Tribolium castaneum: one gene and its partners. The protein of the gene in region 1 purifies or fractionates together with the protein of each later gene. This does not show direct contact. Links are inferred from orthologs where the notes say so. Each region holds a gene or a part of one and is shown on either strand. Other genes may lie near its edges.

Evidence for each region.
Region 2: the proteins of IFT57 (region 1) and Oseg2 purify together in Homo sapiens (affinity purification with mass spectrometry; 3 studies listed by BioGRID and IntAct, counting the BioPlex papers as one, with this or other methods). This does not show direct contact. The link is inferred for Tribolium castaneum from reciprocal best matches to the Homo sapiens genes IFT57 and IFT172.
Region 3: the proteins of IFT57 (region 1) and Oseg5 purify together in Homo sapiens (affinity purification with mass spectrometry; 3 studies listed by BioGRID and IntAct, counting the BioPlex papers as one, with this or other methods). This does not show direct contact. The link is inferred for Tribolium castaneum from reciprocal best matches to the Homo sapiens genes IFT57 and IFT80.

The regions. Positions count from the first base shown.
Region 1 is NC_087402.1:750,625-754,385, forward strand, and holds the start of IFT57 (intraflagellar transport protein 57 homolog), read right to left. Parts: upstream 2,324-3,761; 5' UTR 2,309-2,323; coding exon 2,140-2,308; intron 2,093-2,139; coding exon 1,932-2,092; intron 697-1,931; coding exon 581-696; intron 540-580; coding exon 1-539. Other genes in the region: apoptosis-resistant E3 ubiquitin protein ligase 1, read left to right, coding at 2,452-2,638. UniProt on the Homo sapiens protein: Required for the formation of cilia. Plays an indirect role in sonic hedgehog signaling, cilia being required for all activity of the hedgehog pathway.
Region 2 is NC_087394.1:885,962-889,622, forward strand, and holds part of Oseg2 (intraflagellar transport protein 172 homolog), read left to right. Parts: coding exon 1-705; intron 706-751; coding exon 752-1,026; intron 1,027-2,406; coding exon 2,407-3,087; intron 3,088-3,141; coding exon 3,142-3,573; intron 3,574-3,661. UniProt on the Homo sapiens protein: Required for the maintenance and formation of cilia. Plays an indirect role in hedgehog (Hh) signaling, cilia being required for all activity of the hedgehog pathway.
Region 3 is NC_087398.1:6,317,428-6,320,022, forward strand, and holds the end of Oseg5 (intraflagellar transport protein 80 homolog), read right to left. Parts: intron 2,491-2,595; coding exon 2,117-2,490; intron 2,069-2,116; coding exon 1,905-2,068; intron 1,854-1,904; coding exon 1,656-1,853; intron 1,610-1,655; coding exon 1,348-1,609; intron 1,297-1,347; coding exon 973-1,296; intron 929-972; coding exon 805-928; intron 760-804; coding exon 703-759; 3' UTR 654-702; downstream 1-653.

The DNA of each region.
Region 1 (3,761 bases):
TTAGCCTGAACAGCTCGCGATTCCTCTCAGCAACCCCCTCGCTGATCCCCTTATAAGCATCTCTGATTTTCGAGAGCTGATCTTGCAGCATTCTATATTCATCCAAATTATTCTCCAGCTCCCGATTGAGAAACTTCTCTCGACTTGCGATTTTATCAAGCGTTTGACTTATCTCCTTATGCAACTTCTCCAACTGTGTTTTAACCACACCAAGTGACGAGTCAACACTGACTTTGTATTGCTTCATTTGCTCTAAATGCGAACGCCAATCACGGTTTTCATTCTTAACTGTGATTTTTAAATGCGGGAGAACTCGCTCCAGTTCCAATTTCCACGCTTCTTCATTTACGTTCATTTTGATTTCGGCCATTTGGGGCTCTTTCCGGGCCACTTTCACGTTATCAAGGAGGAAAAGGTTTTCCTCGTCGGAATCGTCCGTGTAAGCTGCCAACATTTCCTCCTCCACACGGTCAAGGTTTATCTCGGATTCGTCGTTTATCAGCTCGCTTTCTTCCGCTTTTTCCTCGGGAAGCAAAGGCCTAACACAATTTTTAAAGCAAACAAAGGGGGATTTACTCACTTTTGGAACATGAAATTTTTCTCCAAAGCCTTGCTGGCCAGACTGTCCAAAATGTAAACCACTTGTTCGCCCACACCTTGCATCAGCTTATTGGCGTGGAAATTAACAGCAATTTCCTAGAATTCGGATTTTAATACTTGGCCAATAAATTAGTGGATGGAAACAGAATTTTTGATTTTACGTCTGTTTATTTTTTGATATTTGTTTTTTTTTGGCAAAATTTAGCGAAAAAAATGAGTTCCTAGCTGAAAAATTAAAAGTGCTTGAAAAAGGCGCAAATTTAGCGATAGTTTGGATATTTTTTTATTATTTTTAACTGAAATATTTAAAAAAATTCACAAATTTGGGGATTTTGTGGGAGATTTATTGTGAAATTTGCCAAAAATTTCGTGTTCCTAAGACGAAAACGTGCAGAAAATCATAAAAAACTATGTAAAACTGTGTTATTTTAAAATTGAGGTTTAATTTTTTATTAAGAATTTCTCGAAATATGAGAATTTTTACCTGAAAAATCAACTTACACGCTTGAAAAATTCCAAAACAACGCTAATTTTACCATAATTTGTTGCTTTTCGACGAAATTTGGTGGAAAATTAAAGTTTCAAATTAAAAAAAATGCTTAAATGTTTGAATTAAACTTTTTTGACCTGACCTGACCTGACCTAATTTGCTGTTTTTTTGTGTTTTTTGTCTCAATTTTGTGCCAAGATGCACAAATTTGACGATAGTTTAGATATTTTATATTAATTTTGACGAAAAACACATTAATTTCGTGATTTTTTAAGAAATTTATGACGGAATTCAGCAAAAATTTCGAGTTTTTGGACTCATTTATTTCAGAGTTTCTCAAAATAAGGAATTTTTGAACTTGGAAAATTCCAGAATATTGTCTTCTTTACCGTAATTTGCTGCTTTTTGACAAAATTTGGTGAAAAATTAGAGTTAAAAATTTAAAAAAAATGCTATAACGTTAGAATAAAACGTTTTTTCGATCTAATTTGCTGTTTTTTTGGGGTTTGGTGATTTAATTTAACGATTTGGGAATTAATATATAGTCTAAAGTTTTCAAGAAAAAATTCTAGTTCAAACATTTTATATAAAATTGGCCACAAAATATCTAATTTTAATTATTCTTATGCTATTTTGGTGGTTTTTAAGAGAGAAATCGTTGAAACTTTTATGTTTTTTTCGAAAAAAATGTGCAAATGTTACTTCTACTGTCGTAGAAAAAATATAGTATGCAACTCGCTTTATAAACTCGTGACAAAAATGACGTATCATACTGTGTTTTGTAAAAATACCAACTTATATTCTGTTTCCAACCATAGTGCAAATTTCAATAATGAATTACATTTTTTCGCACCACATCTAGTATTTTTTCCACGGTCACATTCGGGTCATCATCCTCTTGTGGCGTTTGGAAACTAATTCCAATCTTCTGTATTAAATAGGCCGCCAATAAGGCAAACAAATAAAATTGTTCGCCCGGGTTTTTGGTAACAACAAAATAATACCTGTAATTAATTCCATTACTATTTGAATTATTAAACTGGGGACTTTCCTATGGATGGGCTTGAGCTTAGTTTCCTTGAAAAATTCAGCTTCGTAATTCAACAATTTCAACTTATCTAGAAGCCCTTCCATTTGGCTAAAAGCCGAAAACGTTTGTTCACTCTCTTCTGACATTTTTTGGCGTAAAATTTCGTCAATTTGTATTCGTATTGTCATGGTAACGTGCGGCTCCGCCCACTTAGAGGGCGCCACATTTGACAAAAACAGTAATGGCGGCCGGTTGCTAAAAGTGGGCACAGCCGTCTCAACCAAACTCGAAAAAAAGCCAAAATGTAACGAAAATTTCGTAAAATTGTATTATGAAGCGTTGTGCCAAACTATTCGCTGTTGTATTTTTGGTTTTTGTTAGTGTTGCTAGTGTGATAAGACTGTGTTTTTGCTTTTGGTCTGGATTATTTGAATCGGACAATAAACCGGATGGTAAAGTCGATGAATGGCTAGAACGGAACAATTTGTCACCGTTCAAGGACTGTTTTGTTGACAAAGGTGAGTGAAATTAATGACTGATGACGTTGGAAAAAGCAGCGAAACGCGCCTGATTAAGGGTGCAAATGTAAGGGTGCGAGGGCGCAGTATCGGAATACAGTCGCCCAGGGTTACAAACAAAGCCAGGCACTGCAGTCGCTGGCGAGCACCCATCGACCCAGCACCTGCTACCACAGAAATACCATGAAACCCCTTGAAAACTCGCTCCGTATCAATGTAACATATCTGGGTTTGTTTTGTTGGTTGTGAGTGTGTTGTGTTAAAATGTTGTGGGATGACGATACTGAAATTTGCTCAATTGGCATGACCATGCAGCCGTCCGCTAGTGCCTCCTCTGGTAAGAATTAATTCAAAACACCAGGCCATTTTTTGGGGTGTAATGGCGATGGTAATTATACCACTGAAGGCGAAATGGTGGATGCGCCGGTTCTAAAACACGCAACTTGATTTTTTTCATGATTTTGTAAATTTTTTTATTTTGAATGTGTACCAATAATAAAAGTTGGTCATCTCACAGCAGGGAGTAAATGTGGAATTTGTTGGGCAAACAAATAGTAAAATTAAAATGGTTGCGGTTAAAATTCTACCATAAACTGTAGTCGTTAAAGTAACTCATTAGGGTCGCGTGTTATCGTTTATCAAAGGATATGTTCGAGGTAGGTTGGCGTGTTCAAATGCTGCCAACTTGGACGCATTTTGTGTTGGAATGATTTTTGGTGATTTTTTATTTTTATAGTTGGGGATTATTTGACTAAAAAAAGATTGTATAATTGTTAAAGACTTTACGTTTTTCTCTATACGTGATTTTTTTTCTCAGAATTTTTCGCAATTATTTATTTTCATATTAAACTAAATGCTTCGTAGTCCAAATCGTTTCAAATATAAGATTTTTTTTAATGGAACTAATTTTAATTTGATCAGTGGATCTTCACAATTGATTTTTTTCTGGAAATTTTCAAATTACGAAAAAAAATTCTGAAACTTTTAGTAAATTAAATTATTTGACTTGAAAGTTGAATATACGGGGTGAGTCTGCTAAAAGACTATTTACTACTCCACATTTTTATTATCCATGTGGATTTTTTCAGATTTTTTTATTTTTTGCTTATACAAACTGAACCAA
Region 2 (3,661 bases), on another chromosome or scaffold:
GGAGGAAACTCCATCCAAAGAAATAAAAAATTTATATTCTGTTAGTGCATTGGCTTGGAAAAAAGATGGTTCAAGAATGACTTGTGGTGGCTTATGTGGTGTTGTAATGCTATTTGAATCGGTTTTAAAACGAACAGTTTGGAAAGATAAATTTGAAATAACATACGTTGGTCCAAGCCAAGTCCTTATAAAACCACTCGAAAGCATCAAAAGCAACGAAAACGGAATTATAATAAAATCACAACACGGTGGTGAAATCGAAGATGTGAAAATAATGGGCAAGGATTTTTATCTCGTTGCTCGAACTGATGAAACTTTATTAGTGGCCGATTTACAAAGAAATTTATTAAGTGAAGTTCCTTGGAATAATTCAGGACGACATGAAAAATTCTACTTTGATTATGCGAGCGTTTGTTTGGTTTTTAACGCTGGTGAATTAACACTCATTGAATATGGAGATGATCAAGTTTTGTGTTCGGTGCGAACCGAATTTGCAAATCCGCATTTAATTAGTGTACGTTTAAACGAACGCATTTCAACAAGTGATAATAAAAAATTAGCTTATTTGTTGGATTTGAAGACGATTTGTATCGTTGATTTATTGAATGGGGTGTTAATAATGCAAGTGACGCACGATTCGAAAATTGATTGGTTAGAGTTGAATGAAACCGGACATAAATTGTTGTTTCGGGATAAGAAACAGAGGTTTGTGTTGTATTTGTTTTTTTTTGTGGCTAATTGTTTGTCGTAGATTAATTTTAGTCGATACAACTACTCAAAACAAGCAGTGTATTTTTACGGGTGTTAGTTTTGTTCAATGGGTTGAAGGTAGTGATGTAGCTGTGGCTCAAGCCAATACGAGTTTAGCTATTTGGTATAATATTGAAATGCCTGAAAATCCCACAATAATGAGTGTTAAGGGTGATGTTACCGATGTTGTGAGGAATAATGGTAAAACCGAAGCGGTTTGTATTGATGGGAATAATGTTTATAATTTGGAATTGGATGAAGGACTTGTCGAGTTTGGTAAGTATTTTTTTGCAATTATTCACGCAAATTTTTATTTTTTATAATTTCTGGATGAAATATTCGCAACTAATGTTGTGACTTTTCTTTAATTTTCTCAATCTTTAGAGTCCTAACAACATTCACTAGCTTGATGCGCATTTTCTTTACAAAAAAGTATTCGTCCAAACATTTAGTTGTTAGGGCTCGTAGTGCAAAACTTCAAAGTTTTTTACGCTCCGTTTTTTCTTTCCCCTTAGAAAATCCTTCTATTTTAACAAAATACCTTGTTCATTTTTTTTATTCTTAAGTTAATTTAATTTAATTTAATTTAAACGTTTGTGAGAAAACGAAACAATTCCCATTAGTCATCAACAATATTTTATTTTATTTTATTTGTTAGCAATTATCTTGAAAACAATTAGTCGCAGGACAATCATCTTTAAAAAAAATAGATAATTAAGAGAACTTTCCAACAATAACAGTTCCGAAGTTATTGCCCGATAATTTTTCTTTGCAAAAGCGAGTTTTAAAACACTTGAAACTAAAATTTTGTACAAAAAATTTCAAAGCTTTAAATCTAGTGAAAATTTGGTATCATATGCACAATGAACTACAGAATTCACTGGAATAAACCGTTTCGCACTATGACTTTTAATTTTTGAGTTATGAATTTTTAATGGATAACCCGGCGCATCCACCATTTTTAAAATTGAAATATTTTTTCGGGTAAACTAGCGTTGTGAAAATCGTGGTATAGTTCGTACAGTGAGCCGTAGAATTCAATCGAAGGAACCGCTTTGCTCTACGACTTTTAGTTTTTGAGTTATGATTTTTTTGTGTTGAAGAATTAAATATGAAATGGCAACACTATTTTTTCAATATTTTTCTCAAGGACGGCAAAACTATTTGATAAAGTGGAAGTGTTTTGATGTAAATCTATGTAAAATGGTCCGGGAAATCGACTGGCGTCAAAAAAAATGCCAAATTCTTAATCGTTTTTTAATTATGAATTTTTTAAATCTCTTCTATTTCTATTCTATTTTTTGTTTTATTTGCACTTTTCGCGAAAACTATTAGTCGGGGAACAATGGTCTTTTTTAAAGAGGATATATAATTAAAAGAGCTTTCCAACGATAATACATTTCATAGGGTTATTTCTAATAGTTTCGGAGTTATTGCCTGATAAATGTTCCGGGTACCGAAAATCTATCCTAATCTCGATAAAATTTTGAAACTAGTATCATTCATAAAGTGAACCGTAGAATTCACTAGAATTCAACCTAAAAACGACGAAATATGGTTTGCTAGACAAAATAACCTTCATTTTCATTCTTATTTTAAGAGTTAAAAAATAAAAAGAACATATACAGTTCCACCACCCGCTTCGTTCGCTTCTAGGTACAGCAATCCACGATAATGACTATGCAAGAGCCGTTCTTTTCCTCGAATCAATGGGTAATTCCCCGGAAGCTTCAGCAATGTGGCACAACTTGTCAACAATTGCCTTAAAAGAACACAATTTACAATTAGCCGAACGTTGTAATGCAGCTTTAGGTAATGTAGCAACTGCACATTTCCTACGTGAAACGATTGAAAAATCAACAAATGAAGAAGAAAGTCCGGAAATTTGGGCACGTTTATCAATCTTAAACGGTGATTTAACAACAGCCGAAAATATTTTTTTGGAACAAGGTGATATTGAAAATGCTTTAAATATGTACAAAAAATTACACAAGTGGGATGAAGCTTTACGTTTAGCTGAACAACGTGGTTATGATAAGTTGAAACAATTACAAGATGAACATATGTCTGTTCTTTTGCAAAGTGGGCAATTTGAAAAGGTTGGACAAGTTCTAGAGAAGGAAAATAAGTTTGAACAAGCTTTAAATATGTATATTAAGTCAGGGAAATTATTACGAGTACCGTCACTAGTATTAAAAAATGAAGTGCTTTTGAAAGATCATGCCTTAATAGCCACGGTTTTGAAAAATTTGGTTAAACATGAAATGTTTGAAGCTGCAGCTGAAATTTACGAAAGATTGGACAAAATTGATCTTGCAATGGAATGTTACCGTAAAGGTAATCAATTAAGTGGATGTCTTATCAATTATTTATTACCAATTATTATTAAAGGAAAAGTTTGGAATAAAGCTGTGGATTTAGCTCGTGAGGTAAGTCCAGACAAAGTTGTTGATTTGGAGGAAGAATGGGGCGATAGTTTGGTCGAAAGTAAACAATTAGATGCTGCCATAAGTCACTTTATTGAAGCTGGACGCACTTTGAAGGCTTTAGATACGGCAGTTTTAGCCAAACAATGGAAAAAAGCCGTTCATATAATTCGAGTAATTGATGATCAAGAGTCGGTGAAAAAATATTACGATACTATTGCTGGTTATTTTGCAAAAAATCGTGATTTTGCAACAGCTGAGAAACTTTATGTTTCGTCTGGAATGTATAAAGAGGCGGTTGATATGTATAATGAGGCCGGACATTGGGAGAAAGCACATAATTTAGCATCACAATATCTGGAACCGGATGAAGTTGCCGATATGTATATCAAAAAAGGTAAGTACAAAAGCACAATTTCCATATGAGCAATTTTACTCCAGTAAAATAAGCATTTAAATCAAAATGTTGATATAAGTTACTGTGA
Region 3 (2,595 bases), on another chromosome or scaffold:
GTTTCATTAAATTGGTTGGAAATATTACAGATTTTTTTAAAGAAAGTATTGCAGACCACTAACCCTTTAATCCGGATTGTTTCCTAATTTTCTTCCTGGAAATCCACTCCACTAACTAACAACACGCACTAGCCAACAAATTTAAAACTTTTAGACCGAAAGATTCTGATTTTATTTATGTTTCTAATGCAGTCCCTCTGCAACAACAGCAAGTAATAAACTGGATAAAATTAGCGGCACAATAATTGTGTAAGAATATAATGGATAAAACGTCACCAAAAAAAATCTCTGTGATAATAATTGTTACAAGGTGATAAACAAAGAGGTTTGTCCGATTCATTCATTGATTTTTGTGACGACTTCGTCGGTAAAAACAGTCTTCAGAGTTGTTGCTCCAACATGAAAAATTCAAATTAAACCCCTTTGCCGGAGGCAGAAAATACTATATTTATTTTCACGCATTCTTTTGCCACAAACAAATTTATATTTACTCGAAGAATTACACATTCTTCTCGCAAATAAACAATGATTTAATTCATTTGCTGTATAACAGTTAAATGTGTAAAATAATAAATTTAATATTTGTAACAAATTTTTGTTGATTGTTCCGTTTATATCATTGTAGCGGCTCGTCAAAAATAAAGAGAAACACGAATGAACTAATCGTTTTATTATTTTAACAACAAAAACCCAATGTGATATTTACTTTTGCAGTTCGGCTGAAATTTTTTGTTGCACTTTCTCCGCATCTATTTGTATCTGAAACCACAAAATGTAAAAACAAAACTCCATGAATCAACTTACAGTTTCATTCATTGACGAAAATTTGTTATCACTTTCGGGTTTTCCCAACGAGTCTAAATACTTTTGCCTTAAGAACAACACTGTGTCAATATGCGTTTTGTGTTTAATTGCCAAATCCAGAGCCCTGAAATTATTCTCAGTTTTTGCCCGCTTTCTTATAATTCCTACCGCCTCCAGTTGTGCATTTGAATGTTGCTGTAAATGGCTTGAAACACCATCCCATTGTGCAAAAGAATTGCCTCAGCTTCTTGCTGCGCCCCACCAAGGAGGGCAATTGCGGCTTTTTGTTGAATTTTGTTCGTCAAACTCTTTGCATATTGGATGTAAAACACTTTATCAAAATGATTAATATTGGCGAAAGCTTCCTCCGCTATGTCGATAACATCGGCACTGGACTGAGTCGTCAAAACTGCAAGACATGCCCACAAAGTCTCGTCGTTTGTTGATCTACATAGATTTAAAGCGTCGCTCCATTTGTTGTCTTGAATACATCTGAGGCCGAATTAGTGACTATTAATCAGACAAGGAAACACATTTAGCTACCTATGAAGTATTGAAGGGAATGGAGAAATCGGGACGTTGATTAAAGAACCATCAGCTCTCCGAATTGACACCGAATTCCCCACGAAATCACTTATTCTCGGATTACGTCCCAGCTCTGGAGCGCCGTATTGCATTGAACATAATTTCAGAAGAGTTGAATTAAAAGCAGCAGTCGGACAATACCAAACAACCAACTGTGCATCTTGAATCGTTGCAATGATGTTTGCTTCTGAATTCCACTGAAACGACTCTGTTTTCCTACCTGCAAAATTGTAATCAGAGTTGAGGCAACCTTAGCGTTTGACTACCTAGTTTATGGAATATTTTATTATTACTTCTTGGTGCAACGACGTATAGGTCTTTAGTTTTGTTCACCAGTGCTAACATTCGGGCACTTGGTGGTCCCCACTGGTCAAGAGCGACTTGTAAAATGGGCAGAAAGTGTTGAACCGTTGAAGTGGATTCTGTGGTACTTCTCACACTGCTTAAGTCAATTACATGCACGACTAAAATTTTGATATTAAAACCAAATGTTCAGTGTGTAACAAAAAAAGTACTTTTATGGTCTATAGAGTCTCGTACGACTAAAGTATCGGACGATAAGCTAATATGAGTAGCTCTTAAAGAGTCTAATCTCATGTTGGGCCATCTGGGCGAAGCAATAAGTCTCCCTTGATAATTGTAGATGCCGATGGTGTTTTTTTCAACCAGTAACATGTGTCTAAAATTAGAATTTAATATTTGCTATTAAATCCCGGTATTTTAATACTTTTCGGCTAGTAGTAATAAAATTACAGAACCGTCCTTCAAGTCAAAAATTGCTGGTGTATTCCAGTTATTGGTGCTATAAATGTAACATTGTGTGGGCGTTGTTGCAACCAAATGCGTGTATTTTAGAGCCAATTGTATTACTCTTTCTGGTAATTCGAGTTGTTCGAAAGTATCGTCCACAACATTTCTAACCGTCACGACTTTACGTTCGGTTACTGAAGCAGTGAAATTTTTGTAATGAACGTGTCTTTCCACTATGTGTGCGAAGAAGACGTGACCATTAGCACAAGCACCCGCTAGTTGAGTACCATCTCCAGACCATGCCATTTTGTAAACGCAGCCCGTGGTTGGTTTTTCGAGAGATCTTGACCACTACAATTACGGATCTTAGGAGCATAAATTATATGGGTTTTATTTTTTTTAACAGTTAACTAAACTCAGAGCTTGTTCAATTTATTTTTTGTTGATTTCGAAATT